Oryzias latipes: one gene and its partners. The protein of the gene in region 5 purifies or fractionates together with the protein of the main gene of each other region. This does not show direct contact. Links are inferred from orthologs where the notes say so. Each region holds a gene or a part of one and is shown on either strand. Other genes may lie near its edges. The genes, in order: phf5a, ddx42, eftud2, prpf8, sf3b4, rbm17 and ilf2.

Region 1 (3,814 bases), on a different chromosome or scaffold from region 5:
GCTAGGAAAAACCTCTGCGTTCATCCGTTAGCTCTCGGTCTTTTAATGAGACCGGGAAACTGTACACGAGATGTTAAATCTTTTCATGCAAATCGACACTTCGCTGCGGGGAAATTCACACTTAAAAATCACAGTTTTTAGGCTCTTACCTGGAGCCGTGCGACGGTGAGACAGTAAGATGCCATTTTGTTCACTGACAAAGATGTGAGATCGCCGTGACGTCACTGATGTATAAAAGCTTCTTTCTTCTTCTTTGGTTTTTCGTCCAGTGTCGTATTTACTGCTGCCCTCTGGTGGAAAAGCCTGGAAATACAGCTGAATTTTATTTCCTTTCTAAAATGTACATGTTTACATGGAATAAAATATTAAAGAAATTGTGTCAATATGTGACAAAATGTGTCATCAGACTCATAAGAAAAATATTGGTCGTCACATCAGCAGATCTAAAAGAAATAACGCATTGCTTGAATTAAATTTTCCATACATACAGGATATTTGCATCATGTTTTCAATTCAATGGACTAAAAGTTTAGGTTTGTAAAATGGTTGTTAATCATTCATATGTGCTTGATTAAACAAAATAAATATAGAAATATGATGGAAATGTAACATTTTTATAAATTAATGAACAAAGTTAAATAAGCTAGATTTTCTGTTCATCAAAAAAGTTGCGCAATAGTTAGAAAAAATTTTATTTCTTCAGCAAGGGTATGCATTGCACACCAAAGTACATTTTTACTCAAGAAAATTTTAATTTGATGAACTGCAATTAAAGTTCTCAAACAGGTAATTTCCTCCTCAAGCTGACATGTTTATTTATAAAGTAACTCTCTCATAATTTTATATATTGTTCTGGTTTTCAGAAAACATTTTAAAAAATGAATTTAAAACAGAAAATTTCATAAAAAGGTTTTAAAAATTGGAAATGTAGCCTATTTTAAAAGCAAAAAGGGTATTTATTTAAATCTAGTATTTATAAAAAAAATGTAAATAAATATGTTGGTAACATTTTTTATTTTTACATTTTCAAAACTTAAATTAATTACTTTCATTATCTTAAATATTATAACTCGTGTTTATGTTTTATTTTGTAATTTAAAAAATAAAATAGTACATGCTTCTGTCCAGTAGGTGTCAGTATTGGCCATTTAGCTGCTTTTAGCTTCCACCGACACGCAAGAAGAAGAGTCAGCGGAGCGTTGGGTTGTCGTTAGCTAACATGGCTAAACATCACCCAGATCTGATCTTTTGTAGAAAACAAGCGGGAGTTGGTAAGTTTTTACGTAATTATTTGTTTAGTGTCTGAAACCTTAAAGTTCGTCGCAGGTAATTTGACACATTCGTGGTTTACTTTCAAAGGTTTAGCGCTTTGTTAGCATGTATGGCATGGGGTTTCAATGAGACTGTTAGCATGGTCGTGTTAGCCTAGTTTTGTGTTTGGAGTCGACATGTCTAAATACCTAGTTTTTTCTATTTAATTATTTAAAATATTAATCCCAAACTGTGTAAATTACCTTATTAACTGTATCTGTTTTCATCACCAGCTATCGGGAGACTTTGCGAAAAATGTAAGTTTTTTTAATTGTTTAATGCTATCAAACGTTCAAAGAAAGAGTGCATGTAGATATCATTTTATAGGTAATATTTATAAATAACAAAAAAAAAAAAAACATATTATAAAGTGATTCTTTGCGTGCGGCCATCCCTGATTTGTTCTTCTTTTTTTTTCTGCACGGGCCTTTAATGTTTAATGTGAGAATTATTTTCAGAATAAAAGCCCTCTCTAGTCTAGGAAAAAATACTACAATCCAAAACTTTTCCATTTCTAGAATTTAAAACAAGAAGCTTTCAATGTGAATGGAGTCTAAACTCATTTGTACTTAGTACTTTAAGTGGGAACATAAAGCAGAGTGAAGAAAAAGTCCATTGAATTCCACAGAGGTTTTTTTTCCGTTTGTTGGAAACAAAACCGATACAGTTAGGTTTGGAGGTGTGAGGGGCTGTAAAGGTAGCGTGAGTGCACACAAACAGATGGGTGATGGGAAGGGGGGACGGGCATGCTCCACGCTACCAATCTGCCCACAACTCATAGGTGTATTTCTAATAAACTCCTGCCGCTTTGGAGAAACGACACAGCTTTTGGAAACGTTATGAAAATATTTCAATAGAGGATCAGAGTGGGACTTTAAGCACGGTGGAAGTTTATTGTGGTTTGGGCCTGCTTTCTGACTGAAGCATTTGAATTCCTGCCTCGAAAATCAGTACACTTTTTCTAGATAGAAAATCTAGAATGAAGCAGTCTGTAAAACTAAATAGGAAAGGATGCCGTGGAACATATAGATATGACATTAAAGATGTCTTAAATTCCCAGTCTGGAAGTCTGGTCAATAAGATGAGATTCGAAAAACAGAAGTTTGATAAAGTCCTTCATACAGATGCATCAAAGTTATTATGTCAGTCAAATATTGCTTTAAAAAAAAAAAACATCAACCCAGAGTTCTGAACTATTGTAAACAAACTGTGTTGGCCAATTCTTATCTGTTTATCCTCTTCTCTCTATTGTATCTCCTTCCTGTCTGCATATAGAGCAACACAGATGTTCTTGATCAAAAAACACGAACGATCAGCTGTTTTCAAGTCTTGAGTTTAGTTTTAAATTTTAAAGCGCTTCGAGTTTTAAAAAAAAAAAAGTTTAATTTGATGTATCTGTAAAGCTCTTTGCTGTCATTTCATCAAAGAAACTAGCAGCAGAAACTCAGGAAGTGAGATGCAGCGTCTGACCGTCTTCTTTTACAAAAATAACTTGTTTTAAAGTCTGACTTTAACAATGTTTAAAAGACGGCAGAGACCAACCAGACTGTCCCTGATCTGCTCCTTTCAGGCGATGGGAAGTGCGTCATCTGTGATTCGTACGTGAGGCCGTGCACGCTGGTGCGCATTTGTGACGAGTGTAACTACGGGTCCTATCAGGGGCGCTGCGTGATCTGCGGAGGCCCCGGAGTGTCTGATGCGTACTACTGCAAAGAGTGCACCATTCAGGAGAAAGATGTGAGTCTCTGGGCTCCAGGATCGGCCCTTCGCTGAAATGAACCAATGTTTTTACCCTTAATCTTTTTTTTGTGCAGCGGGACGGATGTCCGAAAATCGTGAACCTGGGCAGCTCCAAAACAGACCTGTTCTACGAGAGGAAGAAGTATGGCTTCAAGAAGAGGTGAAGAAGAAACCCCCCCGGCGTCTGTTAGGCTTTCCTTCTCGTTTCCAAACTTCCAAGAAAACTGTTTTGGTTTGTGAATAAAACTCACTTTTGTACTCCAGTCTCTGTGGCCGTTTGACTGAATAATCCAGTTTTAAAGCGTTTTTTTCTTATCGTTTATACATGGAGGCTCTTTTCTCTCATTCAACCTTGTTCCTGTTAGGTTCCAAGGAAGATCCAGGTCGTATAAATGCAGCCTAAACTTTTCTAGATGGAAGAAAAGTTTCGACATTTTCCTAAAGATCTGAGGAGCTTCAGATCTGGAAGTTTTGGTTTGTCTTTTCTCGTCACATTAACCTGAAATGGAGACAACAGGGAAGAAAAAAACTAAACATTTGAGAGTTCAGTTAAAAAATTAGGGATTTGAGTCCAACAAAATCTACATTTTACTGATCAAAAGTGAGGAAATGATGTATTTAAAGACGTATAATTCTGACTTCTCCCGTCTGAAAACAGGACAGCCTGATTCCTGGTTCTTCAGGATACAAATGAATTTATTTAAATCAGAAAAGTAATTGTAGATGAACTGCTTAAAGATTACTTAAAAGTTCAACTATGGAA
Region 2 (2,908 bases), on a different chromosome or scaffold from region 5:
GATGCTACGATCCTGCAATGTGACAACATCTCACATTTCTTTCTATCTGATTTTAGAAATATAGATGAAATTATGCAGTTTTCCAAAACAGTGTTTGGTAACTCACAGAGCTCTCAGCTCCCAGTCCTGGTCTCTCTTTGTAGCCGAGGCCACCCCCGCCGATGTTCAGCCTCTTCCCTTTACCCCCCTTAAAGCGGGACTTCCTGAACCAGGGATTCTGGACAAAATCCCAAAAAAGGCTGTGTTAAGAACCAGACCTCCAGCATACAGAACCCTCAGTCCTCGGCTTTGATCATCTCACCTGCATGGCTAAATCCATCAGTTCTTTAGATACCGCTTGGTTTGCTCCTTCCAAATTCCGCACAAGATCTCCAGCAAATGATGTGTCTTTGTTGGTTAGCAGGGTATAGGCCACGCCTTTCTCTCCAGCGCGCCCAGTTCGACCTATCCTGTGTGTGTGAGTGTCGATGTCCCGCGCCACGTCATAGTTCACCACCGTGCGAATGGAGGGAATGTCCAGACCGCGAGCTGGGCACACAAAATGAAGGAATGTAACCACAAAACAATTTCAAGCCCCCCTCCCCTTTTTTAAGATCCCCTTCTTAAATGTAGTACAGATTTAAAAGCAATAAAACGGACACAAAGAAATCACAAAAGTCACTCTCCAAACATACCAGCAACATCAGTGGCCACCAGGATGGGCAAGTTCTTCTTTTTGAAGTCGCTGATGACTTTGTTCCTCTCGCTCTGGTCCATGTCTCCATGCAGGAGGCCAAGGCTGTAACCCTCCTGCGTCAGGTTCGCAGCTAGCTCGTCGCTGTTCGCCTTCTTGGTGACAAAAATGAGGACCGAGCCGGCTGAAGTGAACTCGACCAACCGCCGAGTCAGCCAAGCCCATTTGTCTGACCCACTGAGGAGTATTTCCACAACCTGAGTCACGTCTTCGTTGGCCTTGTTGGGGGAGGAGAGGGAAGTACAAAAAAAGCTTTTTTTGTGTTTATTTCAGACAATCTGCATTTGCTCCAAAATATATTTTTACTTTTTTTTTTTTATTTAAGTCATCAACTTAACATGAACACTTTTAGACAAGCAGCAAATTGTCTGTGTGTCTAAACATAAAATATGGTTAAACGTAAAATATTTGTGGAAAAACGTGGCTACCTCTCCGATGTCTCCCTGTACCACACGAATAGGATCCACTAAAATGTCCCTCGCCAATCTCTCAATCTTCTTTCGAAATGTAGCGCTGAACAGAAGGGCTGCGAGGGAAGTTCGGTCTATTAAATAATGCAATTTATATCAAAAATGTATAAAAAAAAGGGAAATCACATACTCTGCCTGTCGGGACGAACGTGACTTGCAATGGATCTGACCTGATATTCTAAAAGGCAAATCCAAAATTTATGTTACTCATTTAAATGAAAACACTCAAATTGTAAACAGAATTTTCGTTAAAACATTGAAAATGTCAGCCCACCAAAGCCCATATCAAACATCCGGTCAGCTTCATCAAACACCAGGTATGTCACTCTCTGAAGGGACGTTGCTTTCTTTTTCACATGGTCGATCAGACGTCCCTGTAGAAATGCACATGAGAGAAAACCCGTCGTTTCCGCAAGAACTGAGAGGTTTTTACACAAATCCGGAACAAGTTACTTACTGGAGTGCACACGACAATCTCTGCTCCCTCCTGAAGGGCCTTAGCCTGCTCCCACATGCTGCCTCCTCCATAAACAGCCACGGAACGCAACGAGTAAGCTTTTCCAAAACGCTTACATTCGGCATGGATCTAGGAAACGCAGTTGGATAATCAATGAGTCCGCCACCTTCAGAGGAAATCTTTTAAAATCGTCTGATCTGATCGCTTACCTGCTGACAAAGCTCTCTCGTGGGGCAAACAATGACTGCGATGGGTCCCTCTCCAGGTTCCAGTTCCTTCTGATCCATGATGTGGACCAGCATGGGCCAGATAAACGCTGCCGTTTTACCGCTGCCGGTTTTGGCAATCCCAATCATGTCCCGTCCGGACAGAGCAATCGGCACACCCTGGAACCAGATCAGAGCCAGGAGTCCGCATGCAGCTATTCTAGAAGACATTTTCAGCTGCACGTCTTTTGTAAAGTTGCACAGTACCTGACACTGAATCGGTGTGGGTTGAGTGTACTCAGACTTTCGAATTTGGTGCATCAACTGCTCATCAAAACCAAAGTGGGCAAAGCTGGTACATAACTTTGGTGGAGCAGCGCCAGATACCTTATTTAGAAAAGGAAAGAGCAAACATGGAGAAAAGACAAAAACCCACCATGTTGGCGCAAACATATAAGGATCATCATTTAAGATTTTACAAACAAGAGGTTTATTTCAGGTTTTAAAGTGACTGATGTACTTACTCGCAGGTTAAGTTTCTGCCTTAATTCAACCACTTGACTTCCAGTGAGGCTACTGAGCTCCTCGTGCTCATTGTAAAAGTTTTTCTCAAATGGAGGGTAATCTATCTGCAAAGAAAGAAAAAGCAGCAAAATCAGAAAACAAAAATCCGGTAGACAACGCACATGGACAACATGAAGCTGTACCTCTGAGTGGTCGATAGGAGGAAGCGGCAGGATGATTTTTTTAGTAGTGGAGGGAATTGGGTTTCCATCACTGTCATAGTCGATATTTTCCTCTTCTTCTTCTTGGGTTAGCCCTGCTGTGGGATTCTCTGCCATGTAGCGGAAGTAGGCTTCCTGCAGAGAGTTCACACAGCCATGTGAAAAGGTGAGTTTGCAGCGACATTCTAAAGGCTCCCCAAATTCTTTTATTAGTATATAAAAACATCACTGTTTAACTGGTAAATATTCAAGTCGGAAGCAGTCATTTAGCTTACAAACAGTCTACATTTTAGTGGGGAAAAAAACATTGAAAAATG
Region 3 (3,500 bases), on a different chromosome or scaffold from region 5:
GAAATCCGCAACCTGAGTGTTGCGTAAGAAATGGTAACGTCTGACACCTTTACAGGTACCAAATTGAGGTGAATCGAGTGCCAGCAGGAAACTGGGTGCTTATCGAAGGCTGTGACCAGCCGATCGTGAAGACGGCCACAATCACAGAACCCAGAGGGAACGAAGAGGTGAGAGGTCAACAGAAAATATCACTGTGGGTCTTCAAAGGTTTCAGCCATATCAAGTTTTTGCTGATTTACCTCCCTCTGCCAGGCTCAAATCTTCAGGCCATTAAAGTTCAACACAGCATCGGTTATCAAGATCGCAGTGGAGCCGGTGAACCCGTCAGAGCTGCCGAAAATGTTGGACGGCCTGAGGAAGGTCAACAAGAGCTACCCTTCCCTGACCACAAAGGTGAGTCTGACATGTTTTTGGTTCATTCGCTGCTGAACAGCTAAAACACCACCTGGTTGTGTTCCAGGTGGAAGAGTCTGGAGAGCATGTTATCCTAGGAACTGGAGAGCTGTACCTGGACTGTGTGATGCACGACCTGAGGAAGATGTACTCTGAGATCGACATTAAAGTAAGGAAATTAACACCTGCTTTAAACTTTGTTAACTCTTTAAAGACCTACTCTGATGAAAACTGTGTTTTTAACACGTTCTTGTGGCATTTTTCTGACGATGAAGGACATATGTAAAGCAAATGAAGCTCAAAATTCAATTTTTGGGTATTTTCTTCAAATCGTTAATCAGGAAGATACGAAAAAATGCTGTTTGAAAAAGATGGTAATCACTGGGCAAAATTCACTGGGCAAAATTCACTGGGCGGGCCACAAGCTCTGCTCCATTCTGATGCATCCACTTGCCAAATAGATTCATTTAGGTCTTCATTTTCCGGGTTGGCATAAGGCTTAAAACTGTACGGCTGGATAGTTCCAATTTTGTCAACTACTGCCGCTCTGCAGAAACTATGTTCCAGAAAACGACAGGTTTTTTTATTTGGGCTAAAAACGTCACAATCATGATTAAAAAACCACTGCAAATGCTTTTAAAAAAAGATAAAAAAAAGATGAGCGGATTTGGACTCTAACACTAGAGATGTCACTTAAACAACACACACTCGTTGACATACCAGAACTTGCCAATCTACGAGTGTCAACTGATTCCGGTGCGTAGAAAAGCGGCGTTTCCCATCGCCTTTGTGGAGTTGTAACGTAAAGTGTTGCATATTGATGCAAGGCTGCTTATCTTCGCTTCAGAATTCTCTAAATTTCCGTTAATTGCGGTCGAAGAGTTACAGTGGTCTAAGGAATGTCAGTACTGGAGTTAAAGCTCGGATGTGAAAGGCTTAAGAACTCCAGAAGTAAACTAGCTGGAAAAAGTCTGAAGGATGTAATGCTGTTGTGTTAATGTTGTGGAACAACTTGTACATCTGCTGTGTTTGCTCACAGGTTGCAGACCCGGTCGTCACGTTCTGTGAAACCGTTGTGGAGACATCGTCTCTGAAGTGCTTTGCCGAGACGCCAAACAAAAAGTATGGCTCAACATGACATGTTTATATTCAGCTCTGTTCCGGGCTCGTTTGAAGCGTTCATTTGTGTGTTGGAGCGCTTAGTCTGGACTCCTCTCGCTGTCCGAAGTCTTCGTCTCTCTGTCCTTCCCCCTGGCTCCGAGCCTCTGCAGGCTGAGTGACATCTGTGTGATGTGATTGACAGGAACAAGATCACCATGATTGCAGAGCCCTTGGAGAAGGGACTCGCGGAGGACATCGAGAACGAAGTGGTGCAGATCACGTGGAACAGGTAGGAATGTGAAGACGCCTCCATCAGTCACTTCTTAATTAAACACAAGCCACATAATGTGCCTTTATGGTAAATTTGCCTGTTACTTTGATGTCAGCACATTCATTTATCCATCATTTCCCTTTTGCTGGGTTAAATAAGATTTGTCTCTTTAATTAAATTTAGTCATGGAAGAAGGTAGAGTTAAAAGGCTTTTTCAATGGACTAATTATTGGATGTGGACATTGCTCTCAGATCTGTAGGTCTGTACTTTCTGATGAGTCTCATTTGGAAATGGCACATGGAGGTGACAGCCATATTTTTATTCATTAAATCAATTATCAAAGTAATCATGAGTTTCTAAATTAATTTCTGCAGAAGTGCAGGAAAGGGAAAGCCCTCCAACGTGTCATGAAAAATCTGTCCTTATGAAAACTCACCTTGGCATATTGATCAGCCCCTCCCCTCGGTAATTGAATTATGCACTAAGAGCCTGCATGAATTTCCCATCCCTCTTGCATGCTTGGATGCTGCAGACAGGCTTCCTGTCTGAGAGGCCATCTGGACCCAGCAGGACCAACCTGCAGCAGCAGGGCTACAGGAGCGACACACTTCACACACCACCCCTTCTCTCCCATTAACCCCTCTGCCCCTCCATTCAGCCAATCTCCTTAATGTTCCAGCTTGCACACTGTGCACGTCTCCTCCCAACGAGCGTTTGTACTGTTTCTTCGCCACAGGAAAAAGCTGGGGGAGTTTTTCCAGACAAAGTACGACTGGGATCTGCTGGCTGCAAGGTCCATCTGGGCCTTTGGACCGGACACAACAGGACCCAACATTCTCGTGGACGACACGCTGCCGTCAGAGGTACGACGCCCGCTGGCTGCTGGTTTGAACTGCAGGTTCTATCTGATCCAAGAGCAGCAACAAATGTCTTTTTTTTTATCTGAGCAAATCTGTTTTTAACCCTTAATCAGTGGTGTGCAGCCTTTTCCAGGCCATGGCACAGTTTTGCCGTCTCATATAATATTTTCACGTATCGGTCTTTTAAAGCTCCAGTTTTCTTAACCTTTGAGGGTGAAAATCTATCTACAGCTGATTTAAAAATTAAATTAGATTTAAAATGTGATGCTGTAGCCTTCAACCTCATCCGGCTTTTAAGGTGCAAGGGATAAATGCAAGAATAAAAGAAAAAACGGTCACTACAACTGGCAATTTTTTCTTAATATATACGTAAATGTGAATCCACCGTATTAGCAATTTTATTAGCATCTTTCTAACATTAGAAGACAGCCGTTTGGAGAATATTATGCAGGAAAGACAACTGGTTTTTGTCTGGTAAAGGCAGCTTGCTTTTATTTTGAAGTCATCTCCTTTCTGCCAAAAGAAACTTTCCAAATACGTTTTTTATTTTTTGACTTTGCTAGCTGGGGGGTTTCTATTTAGCGGTGGGGGCAGCGGCTTTAATAAAGTACTGCTACTTGACATGTGCCTAGAATCTGTTGGATGTGGTGGGGAGAGTCCAGCAGTTTTCAGTAAAACTTCCCTCAGAATAAAATTATAAATAAAACAGAAAATATGTAGGTTGGGTGTTTTTTTTTTTTTTTTCTTTCTTTCCAGTCTGATACCAGCTGTCCCACGAAACAGGAACGGTCCCCTGGCCTGGGGGCCGTTGCTCTAAACCATAAATTCATGTGAAGGTTTCCGATTTAAATCTACTTTAAAGAACAAATGAGAA
Region 4 (4,102 bases), on a different chromosome or scaffold from region 5:
CAGGAGACATAAATAACCTAAATGATGTGTTTTTAGGGCTGCCGGTATGCAATGAGAAAGTGAACATTGTCTAAACGGTGAGGTTTTTCCCTGCAGCTGCAGTCAGACATGAATTAAAATGATCACCATTCATTTTGCTTTTCCTCCTGTTCTTACGCACAGGCAAGCAGGCCAATGCAAGTGCGCCTTTGTAAGAGGATTAGGTCAATAAATAAAGTCTTCTCATCAGAGAATCATAAAAAACTCTCAAAACAATGAGATCATCTGAGATTCACACCTTGACAGAATGTCTGTGGGAAATGGGGTTGATCAGCGGATCAAAGTAGAACGCTGGAAGATCTGGATCCTCCGTTTTGATAAACACCACATTTGGGGTATGGTACCTAGACAATAATAAAGACGTGAGTAAACATAATGATCAAAATGACAAATTTGGAGAAACACAGCAATTTTGTAAACACCAAAGCTTATTCGTTACCAGGTGAGATGCACGTGGTGTGGCAAGTTGTTGTACAGGTAAGGGAATGCAATTTTGTACTCTGTCCTTATTGGCTGTCTGATGATGATTTTGTTGATGTCATTGAACTCATTCCAGTCCTCATCCCTGTATGAAAACAAAAGTTTAACTACGACTCTTAATTGCCAAAGCAAGAAAGAAGAGATCCACATGACACAAAAAAGAAACCCAACAGAAAATGTCTTAACTGTTTTGTTACATAACATGCAGGGACATACTGGAGGTTGATGTCTCTGACAAGCGGCTCGAACTTTGGTCCCCCTGGAATGGCCATATTTAGAGCCTTGGATGTGAAGAAAGCTTTGAGGTCAAACAGGTAAAAATAGTTGAAATCCACCAGGTCTGTCAGAAGCTGATTGGCCAGACGATACAGCGTTGACATCATGGGCAATGTGAACTGCCATCGACGGTAGGTGGTTCCATTCACATATCTAAAAATGTACATTTGTTAACAGTAGGATCGCAATGTAGAATGGTTGAGCTGAAGCTTGGACTCATATATGGACACTCACTTGGAGTTGTCTTTGAGGGGCTGGTGTTCATATAACCACTCAACAACTGAGGCATCTTCCTCAGAATCAAGCTCCATCTGGATGGCTTCCAGGGGTTCCACGTCAAGAATGTTGTCAGCATAATCGAGCGGAGGCTCCTCATCGTCGAACGGTGGGAAGCGCATTCTTTTGAAGTGCCGCCGATCGCGCTTCTCACGACGCATCATGATCCACATGGTGCTGGGGGGAAAAAAAATAAAGTTGGAGAAAACTGTTCAACAGATAAATAGCAAGACTGCAATTACAATGAAATTTACACACATTCCACAAAACTAGGATGATACTACTCACTTACCCCCACTGAGCAATGTAGACTGGCTCTATGACCCACGGAATTTCATTCACAAATGAAATGGCTCCAGTGATGTGGTACAGCACCGGCACATCTCGGATCTGTTCCCAGGGCATCGGCATGTTTTCAAGCAGCTTCAACACAGCGTGGGGCATATACTTGAGAGCACTGTTAAACAACAGAAAAGAGAATGGAAGGCATGTAAAGGGTCTGCAATAACAGTAGTTTTGACCAGGAAACTAATACTAATGTATCCAAAAAGACAAGCAGAGGAACAGTGGAGGGTTCCATAAAGTTAAAAAAAAATGTTTAAGAGAAAAATAACATGACTTCAAATGACTTTGCATCTGCAGAAAGTAATGCTTCATCTTACCCAAGGTAGACCCTTTTGTCATGCCGGAACTTTCTATTGGTCATGTCGCCGTGATCCCTGATGATCTTGCGAACATGTTCAGGAGGCATGTCCTCCTTCTGGGCATCCACAAAGCCAAACTTCCTCTTCTCGGCATAGCGTTTGGCTTGTAGCTGTTGCCATTTCCGTGCTAAAGATGGAAAAATGTTTTAGTAGAATAATGTTTGAAATACATGTATTAGATGTTAAAAACAAAACTTAAAGAAAGGCAAACTCAACGGACAACGCACCCTTTTCTTGTAGTTTCTCTTCAGACATAAAGTCCGGAACTGGCACAGGAGGGGGGACACCTGGGGGTACGCCCGGCGGCACAATTGGAGGCACACCAGGGGGAACAACTGGGGGCATCCCAGGAGGGACCCCTCTGAATGGAAAGTTGACTGCCATACTGTAGCAAACTGTGAAATATAAAGTTTTTTTTAAAAACTGTAAGATGCAAAACTACATACATCAAATTTGAAAAAAAAAAAAAAGAGTTAGGTTACAGACTTTAAAGGGACTAAACTTTCAACTATTTACTAACACATAACTGCTTGGAAGCAGGATTATTGTTTGCAGGCTCTCGTTTGTGTAACATGCTAGGCTAAATCAACATGGCTTCCCGGCTAACGGGCACACTTCCCACAAAGTGCACAAAATAAACATCAAGGCACCATTATCCACTTGTGATAGTCAATTAAATGTTGACATGGTCAATTTTAAAAGCGCTGTTATATTTCAAATGAAGTGTGCGACACTAATATAAAAAATCCGGGTAAACTGTTTTAGGCCAAACGTTACAGCGCCGTAAACTAGCATGCTGCTAGCGTTAGCATCTCCTCGCGTTAAGTAACAAAGAGTAAGTTAAAGACAACAGCAAACATGTTCCTACCTTCACCACAGCAGTATTGTTGCAACGTTCAAATAGCCTCGGCGCTCTCGCTCTCGGCTACCATAACATATCGGCTCTTCTGATTGAGTTTCTCTTTTTCCCCGCTCACTCACGCTGCCGTTCGACTCGACGACAACGGAGGATGAACGCAGGTCTGTGGCATTCAGAAGCAGAGTTTACGACAGAAATAAACGTATCACGCGGCTAAAATGGCATCGCTGTCGCATTTGCTCCACGCTAAATCTACGCAAACGTAGGGATGCCGAATACCCGGATGTCTTTGTTTCCGGAGCTTTACCGCCCCCGCAGGATTGGGGACACAATTAATAGTTTGTACGCCAAATGAAAGAAAGAGCGAGTTATTATGGAGTTGCTAATTTCCAATTGATTTGAACGTCAGCACAAAAGCACCTTACAAAAAAGATCATTTTTAATGCTATTTTCCCACAAATCTTTCCTGTTTATGACTGATTTGCTTACCGTTGAATGAATTTTGTTTAATTGCTGTGTGACAGTTTTACAAATGTAAAAGCACAAAATAACATCACAAAATAAAGTGGCAAGAGCAGTTAATTCGGAACCTGTGGATGTTTTTAATCCCCAACTATCCCATGTTGTGTTCAAGTCATTTTACACCGCCAACATTTTTTCCAGTTTCACTTTTATAATTAACAGGAGGGTCAAGTCTGCCAGAATGTGTGTCCACGTAGTGTTTCGCAGTAGAAACTAATTAACAACTTTATCTTTTTTAAAGCCTATTCTTGATGTAAGACATGCATGTCCAAAGTCCGGCCCATGGGCCTTGCTTTCAAATTTCCACCGGCTGCAGCCTCTGGTCACAAAATCCGTATCCAGCCCCCAGCACCTTCTGTAGACTGTGTTACAATTTCTTAACTGTGATTGGCTAAATTCCATTTTTAAAAATTGTAAATCTGTGGATACACTGTCTGTTGAACAAGCCGATGCGGAACCTTTCCAGTTCATTTCTAAAATGTCAACTGTAAATAATAAAAAAGAAAAGTTGACAGCAAGAGCAGCCACTTGTAGAATGTCATTTATAAGTTTTTCGTTAGCGTTTGACAAAAGCATAGATGCAGAAACTGTTTTTTTGGGGGGAGTAGACAATGACCTGAACTTGAACAAAGAGCCTTGAGGGCCAAACGAAAGAAACAGATTCATTTGTTATTTCTTTGATCAAAGCAACAGTGGTTTGTACTTTGGAAGAAGAAAACTTTTTTCCTGTTCACATGTTTTAAATTTGGAAGTTTAAAGCGAGCATTTATAAATGAATAATAGGTGATTCTTATTGGGAACCCAAATTTATTTTGTAAAGTTTTTTTTTTTTATCCAGTCAAAATTTTTAGCATTTTATTAAAAATGAAATTACGTCATTTTGGTAAAAAAAAAAAAAAAGCATTTAGATGGAATTATGTTCTATGTGAAAAAATGAAAATAAGTT
Region 5 (4,273 bases):
CGTACAGGTGAACGCAGGACTAAGGCTTTACTGATGCCTGCAGCAGCTGCTCAGGTTTAACAAGAATTAGATGGTAATCTGTCATCATGTTCCTTTTGTCTATTGTAGACTTCATTGTATGTGGTGAGAACACCAGCAGCCGAATGTATGCTCTGTGTCACCGACAGAAGGACCTACAATGCTGCTCTGGTATGGATTGTGTTTGAAATGTAGATGGATCAGGATTCAGTGTTGGTTAGAGGTACAATAAGAAGGTTAGAAAAAGGAGTTTGGAAAGTTTCTGAGCTGCTTTTCCTTTTTTGGTTTGAGATACCACAACTTTACATTGAGAAAATAAAATACAACCTCATAACACTTGTTGAAAAGTAAAAATCTTTATAGTTAGGCACCCTATAAACATGAAGGCAGTTGATCCGGTGGTCTTTTGAAGACGCTTGTGAATGCAGTTTATTGGACTGTCTCTACTTAAAAGATCAGTCTGGATTTAGGCAAATTAAACAGCAGGAGGGCTGGCATTTGTGCAGCACAATAAAAGTTTAGGAATTGGCAACATAAAATAACAGAAAATTATCCAAAAGACTGAGATTAAAGTCTACCATTTGGAATTGTGTTATGTTGATACAACTTTAAGAAAATAGGTAGTATTTGATTGTAAAACCTTTCAAAAACATCTTAATTAAAACTTTTTGGCCTTTACACTTCTTACATAATGGATCTGTAATTTGCTCAGTTACTTGAAACATTTGAAAGATTTCTAATGAGACTTAAAAGGAATGAACAGTTTGACTGAAATAAAAATTTGTTTTTTTCTGCTAAGTCTGTGACTCAAGTTGGATTAGTCAAAAGACTTTTTTCCTTTTTCTTTTCGTTTGATTATTATTATTATTATTTTTAGAAACAATGATTGCAATATCATAAGAGCCATCAAAAAATGATCTGAACATCTTTTTTATTAAGCTTTTGGAGACTTTGACCTATGTGTGTCCTTTTTGTTTCTTACTTTTCTAAATGAGCAGCCATTTTTAGCTCTTAATGTTCATTTTTTTTTAATGTAAAAGTCTCAGCTCTGTACACAAATGCATTTCACTTATGTTATTATTGATCAAGGCTTTTTTAACCCATTTTTATATATGCATTTATAAAATGAAAACATTGGCTTTTTGTGTTTTGAACTTTGTTGCATGACATGCTTTTTTATTTTATTTTGATACAGTATTGTTTTATAAAAATGGTTTTATTATGCCCAAATTGTATTTTGTATGAACAATTTGTATTCCATGTTTATACTTTTAGTAGATTTATATAAAAATGTATATAAATATGTAATAAATTGGTCCGTACAAAGTTTTGAACTTTATCTGGTCTTGTGTTTTTATTGTTCGATGCTATTAAAAAAATAATCTAAAACGAAGCAAAGATATTGTATTTTATTTTTTGAAAGAGGAGTTCATTTTATATTATAACTTCCGGTTTGCTGAACAGGAAGAGGCGGAGCTTCCTACATGAACGCTTCTGGTGCGTTGGTCATTCAACATGGCCGCGGGACCAATTTCTGAAAGAAACCAAGGTAATTTACGGAATTATTACCCATTTCTTTTGACATTTAGCCGTGCATAAATGTATGTAATGTGTAGTAACACCCAACAAGGGCACATTTTTCCTCATAGAGCGAATATGGATCCTAAAATTAGCTAATATTCTTCTGTTGAAACCGGGTAAACACATGGAGTGAAGCGGCTTTAGCCTAGCTTGTAGCTAATAAAGCCATTCTCCCAATTAATCGTTTATCGAATTTGCACTTTAGATGCACGTCCTTTTATATAAGCATTAAGCTGTGAAAAAACGTATACTCATTTCCATTGTTGCAAATCTATAAATAGAAAGAGAAAAAGCAATATTTTATGCCAGGAACTAATACTAAACAACTGCAACTTCTTTCATAATTTAACTTCAGTTCATTGACCTCATTTTATTCTTACCAGGCAGCATGATCATTAAATTTTTCACAGTTTCAACAATGGTTTTAAAAAGAACTAATGAAACTTTAAGTGAACATAAATATGGTCATTTCTTTTTGTAATTCGTATTCATTAACTTGTGTCAGAAAGTGGAAACCTTTGTAGTGTTTTACTCACCAAGCCTGCTCTTGTCTGTCCAGATGCCACGGTGTATGTCGGTGGGTTGGATGAGAAAGTGTCGGAGCCGTTGCTATGGGAACTCTTCCTGCAGGCTGGTCCTGTGGTAAACACGCACATGCCCAAAGACAGGGTCACGGGTCAACATCAGGGTGAGTGCACTTTCAGTTGGTCAACAAGATTGAACAATTATCTTCTTAGAAAATTATCTTTACAAAATTGTTTTTCTTTATTTAGGTTATGGCTTTGTGGAATTCCTCAGCGAAGAGGATGCTGATTATGCTATTAAAATAATGAATATGATCAAGCTCTATGGAAAACCCATTCGAGTCAATAAGGCCTCGGCACACAACAAAAACCTGGATGTGGGTGCGAACATCTTCATCGGTAACCTGGACCCAGAAATCGATGAGAAACTGCTCTACGACACATTCAGTGCCTTCGGTGTGATTCTCCAAACACCAAAGATCATGAGAGACCCAGACACCGGCAACTCCAAGGGTTACGCTTTTATCAACTTTGCCAGTTTTGATGCTTCTGATGCCGCCATCGAGGCCATGAATGGCCAGTACCTCTGTAACCGGCCCATCACTGTGTCGTACGCCTTCAAGAAAGATTCTAAAGGGGAGCGCCACGGCTCCGCCGCAGAGCGACTCCTGGCGGCGCAGAATCCGCTGTCCCAGGCGGACAGGCCCCACCAGCTGTTCGCTGATGCCCCACCACCTCCCTCTCTTCCCACCCCGGTCCTGACCACACTAGGAGCTGGAATGGGTATTCCGGGCATGGGAGGTGGGTGTTACGTCACATTTATGTGAAAATAGTTTTGTTTTTTTAAAGACTCGCTTTTATGAACATTGTCTTTTTGATGTATTTTTGTGGCATTTTTCTGATGATAGAGACAAAGAAAATGTAGCTCAAACTTGCATTTGACTGCAAACTGCAAAAATTAAAAACTGGATTTAAATCTGAAGCAGACAAAAAAAAAGGATTTTTCTGTAGTTTTACATAACTACTGCCATTCCGCAGAAACTATGTTCTAGAAAACAACACAGGATCTTTTGATTTTGGCTAAAAATGGCATCATCACCATCATCATTTTCATAAAAGACCGCTTTGAAAAAAGATCAAAGGATGATCAGTGTGGGACTTGTGTTTTGTGTTAGCCTAAACAAGTGTTTTTACAGATACAAATTAGCAATTAGCTGCAAAAATACAAACAAATGTACCCACAAGTCCTTCAAGTAGATTGTGTTGATTTGTGTGTGCAGGTCTGCCACCTCCTGGTGCCTTTCCCCCTGTTCCTCCCCCCGGATCACTCCCTCCTTCCATGGCCCATGGCATGGGGATGCCTCCATCAGCAGGTGGCCCACAGGGTATTGGCGGTCCAGGTGGACCACCACCCTTCCCGCCTGGAAGTATGCATCCAGGTGAGACATTGTGACTTCTTAAGAGTGGTTTTTGTCTTTCTGTCGGAGGAAATACAGAGGTTTTGAGCCTCAGAGCCGCGTTTACTTTGTTTGGCATCCGCATAAACATCTGAAAGTCAAAGCCTGTTCTCGTTTTAGTATCTAGTTTTTCTTCCCGCCACCTCCAGTTTGATCCGTTTCTGTCACTCAGGTATGCCTCAGATGCCCATGCACCCTCCCGCTCCGCCTGGCATGGTTCCACCTCCTCCTGCTCCACCAGGATCATCCCAACGCGCCCCGCCCCCCAACCTCCCCCCACCCCCGCCTATGGGCATGCCGCCCAGAGCACCATATGGACCCCCCATGGGTGAGTGTTATGACGCCTCTTCATGTCTCTGTCAAATAGAAAAAACACCTGAAAGGAAAAACGGCGTTGAAGGAAGTGTCAGAGTTGGCAGGATTTGGCAGAGACGCTCTGAAAGTGATGTAATGGGGGTTTGGTAAGGAACCAGGTCCGCCAATCATCTCAGTCACTGACTTACATTTATGAAATCACCTGTGCTTGTAGCATCCTAATATTTGAGTTGTTGATAAAGTAAAACTTCAAACAAATACCTACCTTTTCAAACTAAACTTGCTAATGAATTATTGTCAGCTGAATTAAGGATATCCTGATCAGATTCAGAGTCGTTTGGTTTTTAGTTTTGATTTGATCATTTTAGACTTAAACAG
Region 6 (4,204 bases), on a different chromosome or scaffold from region 5:
ACCATAGAAGAAAATATTATGCAGTCTGTTGTAAACAAGCAGAGCTCCGACACGGAGTGAGATCATCTTCTAAACACGCTTCTAGTATTTTTACGATCAAGTGCCTTTGCAGCCGTACGGACTGCGGTCAGAACGCTTCTCCGGTCCGAACACTGAAACAAAGAACCGTCCCCGCCTGCAGCTACGAGACTCCAGCTGCTCTGCTCAGAGAGCAGCTGGTTCATTCTAACAGCCACAGATCTTTGTGCTCAAATGGAACAGTAGTTTCCTGCAGAGATGAATGACGTACCAATGAAGTACCAATTCTAAAGGTTCCCCTATAGAAACAAACTAAACTAAACTAAACTAAACTAAACTAAACTAAACTAAACTAAACTAAACTAAACTAAACAGACTAAACAAAACAAAACGAACTAAACTAAACAAACTAAACTAAACTGACTAAAATAAACAGACTAAACTAAACAGACTAAACTAAACAGACTAAAATAAACAGACTAAACTAAAATAAACAGACTAAAATAAACAGACTAAACTAAAATAAACAGACTAAACTAAACAGACTAAAATAAACAGACTAAACTAAACAAACTAAACTAAACAGACTAAAATAAACTAAACAGACTAAACTAAACAGACTAAACTAAACAAACTAAACTAAACAGACTAAAATAAACAGACTAAACTAAACAAACTAAACTAAACAGACTAAAATAAACAGACTAAACTAAACAGACTAAACTAAACAAACTAAACTAAACAGACTAAAATAAACAGACTAAACAAAACAAACTAAACAAAACAAACTAAACAAAACAAACTAAACTAAACCAACTAAACTAAACTGACTAGAATAAACAGACTAACAGCCACAGATCTTTGTGCTCAAATGGAACAGTAGTTTCCTGCAGAGATGAATGACGTACCAATGAAGTACCAATTCTAAAGGTTCCCCTATAGAAACAAACTAAACTAAACTAAACTAAACTAAACTGACTAAACAAAACAAAACAAACTAAACTAAACTGACTAAAATAAACAGACTAAACTAAACTAAACAGACTAAACTAAACAGACTAAACTAAACTAAACAGACTAAACTAAACAGACTAAACTGAACAGACTAAACTATACAGACTAAAATAAACAGACTAAACTAAACAAACTAAACTAAACAGACTAAAATAAACAGACTAAACTAAACAAACTAAACTAAACAGACTAAAATAAACAGACTAAAATAAACAGACTAAACTAAACTAAACAAACTAAACTAAACAGACTAAAATAAACAGACTAAACAAAACAAACTAAACTAAACAAACTAAACTAAACAAACTAAACTAAACTAAACAAACTAAACTAAACTGACTAAAATTAACAAAACAAACTAAACTAAACAAACTAAACTAAACAAACTAAACTAAACTGACTAGAATAAACAAAACAAACTAAACTAAACAAACTAAACTAAACTGACTAGAATAAACAGACTAAACTAAACAAACTAAACAAACTAAACTAAACTGACTAAAATTAACAAAACAAACTAAACTATACAAACTAAACTAAACAAACTAAACTAAACTGACTAAAATAAACAGACTAAACTAAACAAACTAAACTAAACAAACTCAACTAAACAGACTAAAATAAACAGACTAAACTAAACTAAACAAACTAAACTAAACAAACTAAACTAAACTGACTAAAATTAACAAAACAAACTAAACTAAACAAACTAAACTAAACAAACTAAACTAAACAAACTAAACTAAACTGACTAAAATTAACAAAACAAACTAAACTAAACAAACTAAACTAAACAAACTAAACTAAACTGACTAGAATAAACAGACTAAACAAAACAAACTAAACTAAACAAACTAAAGTAAACTGACTAAAATTAACAAAACAAACTAAACTAAACAAACTAAACCAAACAAACTAAACTAAACTGACTAGAATAAACAGACTAAACTAAACAAACTAAACTAAACAAACTAAACAAACTAAACTAAACTAAACTGACTAAAATTAACAAAACAAACTAAACTAAACAAACTAAACTAAACAAACTCAACTAAACTGACTAAAATTAACAAAACAAACTAAACAAAACAAACTAAACCAAACAATCTAAACTAAACTGACTAGAATAAACAGACTAAACTAAACAAACTAAACTGACTAAAATTAACAAAACAAACTAAACTAAACCAAACAAACTAAACTAAACTGACTAGAATAAACAGACTAAACTAAACAAACTAAACTAAACTGACTAAAATTAACAAAACAAACTAAACTAAACCAAACAAACTAAACTAAACTGACTAGAATAAACAGACTAAACTAAACAAACTAAACTAAACAAACTAAACAAACTAAACTAAACTAAACTGACTAAAATTAACAAAACAAACTAAACTAAACAAACTAAACTAAACAAACTCAACTAAACTGACTAAAATTAACAAAACAAACTAAACAAAACAAACTAAACCAAACAATCTAAACTAAACTGACTAGAATAAACAGACTAAACTAAACAAACTAAACTGACTAAAATTAACAAAACAAACTAAACTAAACCAAACAAACTAAACTAAACTGACTAGAATAAACAGACTAAACTAAACAAACTAAACTAAACTGACTAAAATTAACAAAACAAACTAAACTAAACCAAACAGACTAAACTTAGACGATTCCAGGGCAAAACAGAAGAACCCTCGGGGGGGTCCACATGAAGGAGGGATCCTCCCCCAGGACGGACAGGCGATTTACCAGAACTCTTAGAGAGAATGAACTTATCTGACTCTACAACTACATGATTGACTAGATCAGCAGATGAGCTTCATCCAGACGGCTGAAAAGGTCTCTGAGAAAAGGGTGGTTTTTCCAACCCTGAAGCTAAACCAGCCCAACATTATCAGAGAAAGGAATCTGCGTGATGTCAGGCAGCCTGGAGCTCAGATGATCCACGGGAGAGAGAGGCGTGTGTCGTCACATTCCCTCCTCAGGATGACAAAGCAAAAACAGCGTTCTTTGGAAGTGGAACGAATGATTTTAAATGTCCTCATGACCGTAAACAGAAAGTGTAGCAGAAAGAATCACATCCTTTCAAAGAATTGAGTTCGTCCATGGTTAGTTTCAGCTGAAACGTGCCTTTATTGTTGGTTTTTCTAATTAAAAGCAGGTTCTAGGAAGCACTGCTGCACACCAACCATCTCTGCTTCACTCTGCAGCCTATTCCTGAGCTCATGTTTGGGTTTGGAGCATCAAATCCAACTTCTTTTTCTTTCTTTTCATTTTAAGTCATTTTAATCAGTGTGTTTTTTTCCATGCCATTTGCTTTCACGTTGATATCAATCTGCCTGCATCCTGTCCTTCCTGCAGCCGTGGTGGATCTGAACGGCCGTTATTTTGGCGGGAGGGTCGTCAAAGCCTGCTTCTACAACCTGGACAAGTTCCGGGTTTTGGATCTGGGAGAACAGGTCTGACGTGGTCCTGCGATCGGCGCCGGCGTCAACCATCATCATCCTCCTCCTCCTCGTTCATCGACTTGTACATAAATTTGTTTTTGTTTTTTTTTATATTTCCTGAACAGCGTCTCTGTGGTCAGAACTGTAAAATGTAGTTGTTGTTTTTTTCCCTGTCATTTGACAAATATGTCAAAATAAAAGCTTTAAAGCCGTTTATGTGCCGTTTCCACTTTCCAAGAAGCCTACTTCTGCCGTCTGATTCTTGCCTGAAATGCACAGGGCTCCTGTGTTTGGGTTCTGCCTCTCTGGGGGGTTTTGGCGGTCCTAACATAGCCCTGCTTCATTATGGAGGGGACTAGGACAGTGAACGGAGCCTCAGCCTCATTCAGGACTTATGTAAGTGAGCCAGGGGGCCCCCAGGGGCCCGACGTCATGAAGAGATGCCCCTGGAGTGGGTTTAAATCAGATCAGTGAGGCGGGTTGGGTAACGAGTCCTGGTTTTGAAAAGCTGCTGCATGCCTCTTGGTGACATTGAAGTGGCCTTTGGCAGAGACCTGGTCGGGCTCTACAGGTGCTGATGGACTCCGATGCAGACCGGTACGGTCTGGTTCTAAACTCAACCTTCGCCGTATGGCGCTCGTGCAGAGTGTTCCGCACATGGTTGGGTTTCACGGAAAGCTCCCGAGGACGGACCATCCCTGTTCTTTCTCAGAATG
Region 7 (2,638 bases), about 14 Mb from region 5:
GTATTTTTGTTAGAACTGAGCGACTTTATGAGCTACATCGGGACAAGGAAGTGAAGACTTTAACCACTTCTGATTGGTCAGACGGATGACATGTGATTAAGCCTTCAAGAATGATTGGCGGAGACAGTTAAAGGGGCGGGACTTTTCCGTAAACTGTTATAGCAGGTAAATCGCGGTACCGTCATTCTTATCAAAATGTCTTTAATAGAATTAAATAAACACAAAGAAAAAGTAATTTTACGATCTTTCATATTCCTAACTACTCAGTGTTTTATCAGGACCTTTTTGGATGAACACAGAGCTGATATCCTGGAGATGGTAAATGATTTTGGATCAGTTAATGAGGGCAGTTTCCCACGGCACACCTGACCATCTCCAACAGCACACTAGTGTGCCGCGGCACACTGGTTGAAAAACACTGCCCTAGAGAGTGCAACAAAATTAGGGCTCTTTTGTGGACGTGTGATGATTCTCCGCCATGCTAGCAGACAGTCATATGATGCCACATAATTGATCATGGCATCTTTGCAATGTCATATTCATTATGCTTTTCTATTCAAATTCTTGGCTTTATTCAAAACAAAATCTGTTTTTCAGAACTTATTCCAGTAAACTGAAAATACTTTTACTTTAATGATTTATTTACTTCCTTGTTTGCTTCCTTACAGAATGAGCAGTGTTGAAAAAGAAAAAGTAAAAGCCTATAGGCGGATTTATTTTTTCTTTCGAGTCAACAAAGGCAGCTTCATTGTGAAAATGAAAAAGCATTTCGGGTATTGACTTATTTCTAATTATGAGACAAAAAACGCTTCCATAAAATGCTGCAACGGTCAATTTTTTAGCAATCTGCTGCCCTGGACTTTTGTAAATAACATGAGGATGATAGAAGAGGAGGTGGGGTTACTGTGGTGGTGTTCCCTGATAGGCTAATGGTCCTTTGTTTTGAAGCCAAGGTGTCAGATGCTGCAGCTAGTGGGGAGGAACATTCAATCAGGCTTAGCTGGAGCTTTAGCTCGTCATTTGTGGCCCCTGTGCCAAATCCATTGGAACTGGCGACAGAGTCATGTTTGAAAGTAACTAATTTAGGGACACCTTGAATTAAAGTACAAGACTTTTTTCATTAATCCCTCAAAGATAAAAAAAAATCTTACAGCTGGCGTCTCCGTCAAGGCCAAGAATCTTCCTGTATCCTCCATGGGAGAGCACCCTGACCAGTGTCTGAGCTGTGAAACAAACCATGTCCTGCAAACACAAAAAAAGAGAAATATTGGATCAATCCACGCGACAGACATTTTGTTGGCTTTCCTTTTATCTTGACTGCGTATTTTCCACATTTTTCCACATTAACTATAGCAAAACAGAACAAAACTACAACAAAGACACCTCTTCATGCTCACAATGAAGCAGTAAAGCCAACCGGGTTTACCTGCTGCTCCAAAGTCATCACTGTGTGAACTCTAAAGTTCCCACTTTCACAAGGATCTGTGATGCCCACAGAGCCAGGCAGGAAAAGCCCGGCAGCCAGCATCTGCAGGCAGCGCCTTTAGGGAGGCAGAAAAGGAAAGGGTGACTTGTGTCGTCGCTCATTTTAAAGAAATCACAGCCGTCAAGAGATAACACCAACCTGTAGGCCACGTTCAGGGACAAAGGCTGCCTGGAAGGATTGTTCATCACTGCGGAGTGGCCCTTCAACGAACCATAGACTGAGATTAGCAGGGCTTACTACAGTTTCACTAAAGAAATGGTTTCAAAATGTTTGTACACACACACAACAAATGTGCAATATTGTTTATGCTTAATTGAAAAAAAAAATGCGTTATGGAAAAACTAAATGTCAGTTCCTGCATCCTCTTAACACGTGATTCTTGTGCTTGTGTATTTTTCAGTGTGATTTACCAGCAGGTCAATAATCCAGGGGGTGAGGGGTTCAAATCCAGGGAAGCGCAGTCGGAGATCTTTCAGGAGGCGAATCAGAACTTTGACCCTGAAGATCATCAACGTGCAACAGTTCACAGATACTCATCACACGTCAAGAAACACAAAGAGAGACGAGCGGGGCGCTCACGTCGACTGAGAAGCGTTCTCCTCAAACCAGCGGGCGTGGCGGATGGCAGCCAGAGCACTCTGCAGCACTCGGATGTCCACTAGAAAGAAAAAAAACGAGCATTTTTGTGGTGGTAAAGTGAATGTGTAGAGCCTCCAGAACATCAAACCTCCACCAGAATTATGGATACATTGACAGCTCCACTCAAGTTTCTGAACCCACAGATGTTTATTTGACAGATGTTGGGAGAGGTCCAAACTGTAAGTCTACACCGATTTATTGTAAAATATCAACACTATAAGTTATGAACTTTTCACTCAGACAGAAACACCAATCTGCTAAATAATTGGTTCACTATAAGAGCCGAAGAAATCAAAAATTTAAAGAATTAAAACAATAGATTTTCATCAACAAAGAATCATTTGTCAAACTTTAAAGTCAACAAGAAGTAGATGATTGCTCAGACCACATTCTTCAAACAACATTGATCAATTATTTCACAAGCCTGCCTCATTCCTATAAAAGTGCTGTGCGGGTGTGCGCTCTCTTACGATGTAACTCTGGATCCAGTTTGCGCAGGTTGGGTGGAACGGT

The links.
Region 1: the proteins of sf3b4 (region 5) and phf5a purify together in Homo sapiens (affinity purification with mass spectrometry; 6 studies listed by BioGRID and IntAct, with this or other methods). This does not show direct contact. The link is inferred for Oryzias latipes from reciprocal best matches to the Homo sapiens genes SF3B4 and PHF5A.
Region 2: the proteins of sf3b4 (region 5) and ddx42 purify together in Homo sapiens (affinity purification with mass spectrometry; 3 studies listed by BioGRID and IntAct, with this or other methods). This does not show direct contact. The link is inferred for Oryzias latipes from reciprocal best matches to the Homo sapiens genes SF3B4 and DDX42.
Region 3: the proteins of sf3b4 (region 5) and eftud2 purify together in Homo sapiens (affinity purification with mass spectrometry; 3 studies listed by BioGRID and IntAct, with this or other methods). This does not show direct contact. The link is inferred for Oryzias latipes from reciprocal best matches to the Homo sapiens genes SF3B4 and EFTUD2.
Region 4: the proteins of sf3b4 (region 5) and prpf8 purify together in Homo sapiens (affinity purification with mass spectrometry; 4 studies listed by BioGRID and IntAct, with this or other methods). This does not show direct contact. The link is inferred for Oryzias latipes from reciprocal best matches to the Homo sapiens genes SF3B4 and PRPF8.
Region 6: the proteins of sf3b4 (region 5) and rbm17 purify together in Homo sapiens (affinity purification with mass spectrometry; 4 studies listed by BioGRID and IntAct, with this or other methods). This does not show direct contact. The link is inferred for Oryzias latipes from reciprocal best matches to the Homo sapiens genes SF3B4 and RBM17.
Region 7: the proteins of sf3b4 (region 5) and ilf2 fractionate together in Homo sapiens (co-fractionation; 3 studies listed by BioGRID, with this or other methods). This does not show direct contact. The link is inferred for Oryzias latipes from reciprocal best matches to the Homo sapiens genes SF3B4 and ILF2.

The regions. Positions count from the first base shown.
Region 1 is NC_019877.2:2,094,200-2,098,013, reverse strand, and holds phf5a (PHD finger-like domain-containing protein 5A), read left to right. Parts: upstream 1-1,147; 5' UTR 1,148-1,219; coding exon 1,220-1,271; intron 1,272-1,544; coding exon 1,545-1,568; intron 1,569-2,881; coding exon 2,882-3,048; intron 3,049-3,125; coding exon 3,126-3,215; 3' UTR 3,216-3,314; downstream 3,315-3,814. Other genes in the region: aco2 (aconitate hydratase, mitochondrial), read right to left, coding at 150-185.
Region 2 is NC_019866.2:4,156,423-4,159,330, forward strand, and holds part of ddx42 (ATP-dependent RNA helicase DDX42), read right to left. Parts: intron 2,727-2,908; coding exon 2,574-2,726; intron 2,496-2,573; coding exon 2,391-2,495; intron 2,254-2,390; coding exon 2,134-2,253; intron 2,047-2,133; coding exon 1,870-2,046; intron 1,790-1,869; coding exon 1,661-1,789; intron 1,578-1,660; coding exon 1,478-1,577; intron 1,382-1,477; coding exon 1,334-1,381; intron 1,260-1,333; coding exon 1,162-1,259; intron 952-1,161; coding exon 675-951; intron 529-674; coding exon 302-528; intron 218-301; coding exon 107-217; intron 13-106; coding exon 1-12. UniProt on the Homo sapiens protein: ATP-dependent RNA helicase that binds to partially double-stranded RNAs (dsRNAs) in order to unwind RNA secondary structures. Unwinding is promoted in the presence of single-strand binding proteins.
Region 3 is NC_019866.2:5,482,054-5,485,553, reverse strand, and holds part of eftud2 (116 kDa U5 small nuclear ribonucleoprotein component), read left to right. Parts: intron 1-55; coding exon 56-167; intron 168-252; coding exon 253-393; intron 394-460; coding exon 461-562; intron 563-1,432; coding exon 1,433-1,515; intron 1,516-1,696; coding exon 1,697-1,783; intron 1,784-2,502; coding exon 2,503-2,629; intron 2,630-3,500. UniProt on the Homo sapiens protein: Required for pre-mRNA splicing as component of the spliceosome, including pre-catalytic, catalytic and post-catalytic spliceosomal complexes. Component of the U5 snRNP and the U4/U6-U5 tri-snRNP complex, a building block of the spliceosome.
Region 4 is NC_019871.2:16,913,121-16,917,222, reverse strand, and holds the start of prpf8 (pre-mRNA-processing-splicing factor 8), read right to left. Parts: upstream 2,801-4,102; 5' UTR 2,644-2,800; intron 2,171-2,643; 5' UTR 2,160-2,170; coding exon 2,003-2,159; intron 1,903-2,002; coding exon 1,734-1,902; intron 1,529-1,733; coding exon 1,364-1,528; intron 1,249-1,363; coding exon 1,030-1,248; intron 949-1,029; coding exon 736-948; intron 605-735; coding exon 479-604; intron 384-478; coding exon 278-383; intron 1-277. UniProt on the Homo sapiens protein: Plays a role in pre-mRNA splicing as core component of precatalytic, catalytic and postcatalytic spliceosomal complexes, both of the predominant U2-type spliceosome and the minor U12-type spliceosome.
Region 5 is NC_019869.2:7,215,903-7,220,175, forward strand, and holds the start of sf3b4 (splicing factor 3B subunit 4), read left to right. Parts: upstream 1-1,473; 5' UTR 1,474-1,533; coding exon 1,534-1,567; intron 1,568-2,158; coding exon 2,159-2,287; intron 2,288-2,372; coding exon 2,373-2,924; intron 2,925-3,403; coding exon 3,404-3,562; intron 3,563-3,752; coding exon 3,753-3,908; intron 3,909-4,273. UniProt on the Homo sapiens protein: Component of the 17S U2 SnRNP complex of the spliceosome, a large ribonucleoprotein complex that removes introns from transcribed pre-mRNAs.
Region 6 is NC_019881.2:3,098,602-3,102,805, forward strand, and holds the end of rbm17 (splicing factor 45), read left to right. Parts: intron 1-3,402; coding exon 3,403-3,506; 3' UTR 3,507-3,704; downstream 3,705-4,204. UniProt on the Homo sapiens protein: Splice factor that binds to the single-stranded 3'AG at the exon/intron border and promotes its utilization in the second catalytic step. Involved in the regulation of alternative splicing and the utilization of cryptic splice sites.
Region 7 is NC_019869.2:21,694,652-21,697,289, forward strand, and holds part of ilf2 (interleukin enhancer-binding factor 2), read right to left. Parts: coding exon 2,596-2,638; intron 2,145-2,595; coding exon 2,066-2,144; intron 1,985-2,065; coding exon 1,897-1,984; intron 1,687-1,896; coding exon 1,625-1,686; intron 1,542-1,624; coding exon 1,427-1,541; intron 1,243-1,426; coding exon 1,152-1,242; intron 1-1,151. UniProt on the Homo sapiens protein: Chromatin-interacting protein that forms a stable heterodimer with interleukin enhancer-binding factor 3/ILF3 and plays a role in several biological processes including transcription, innate immunity or cell growth.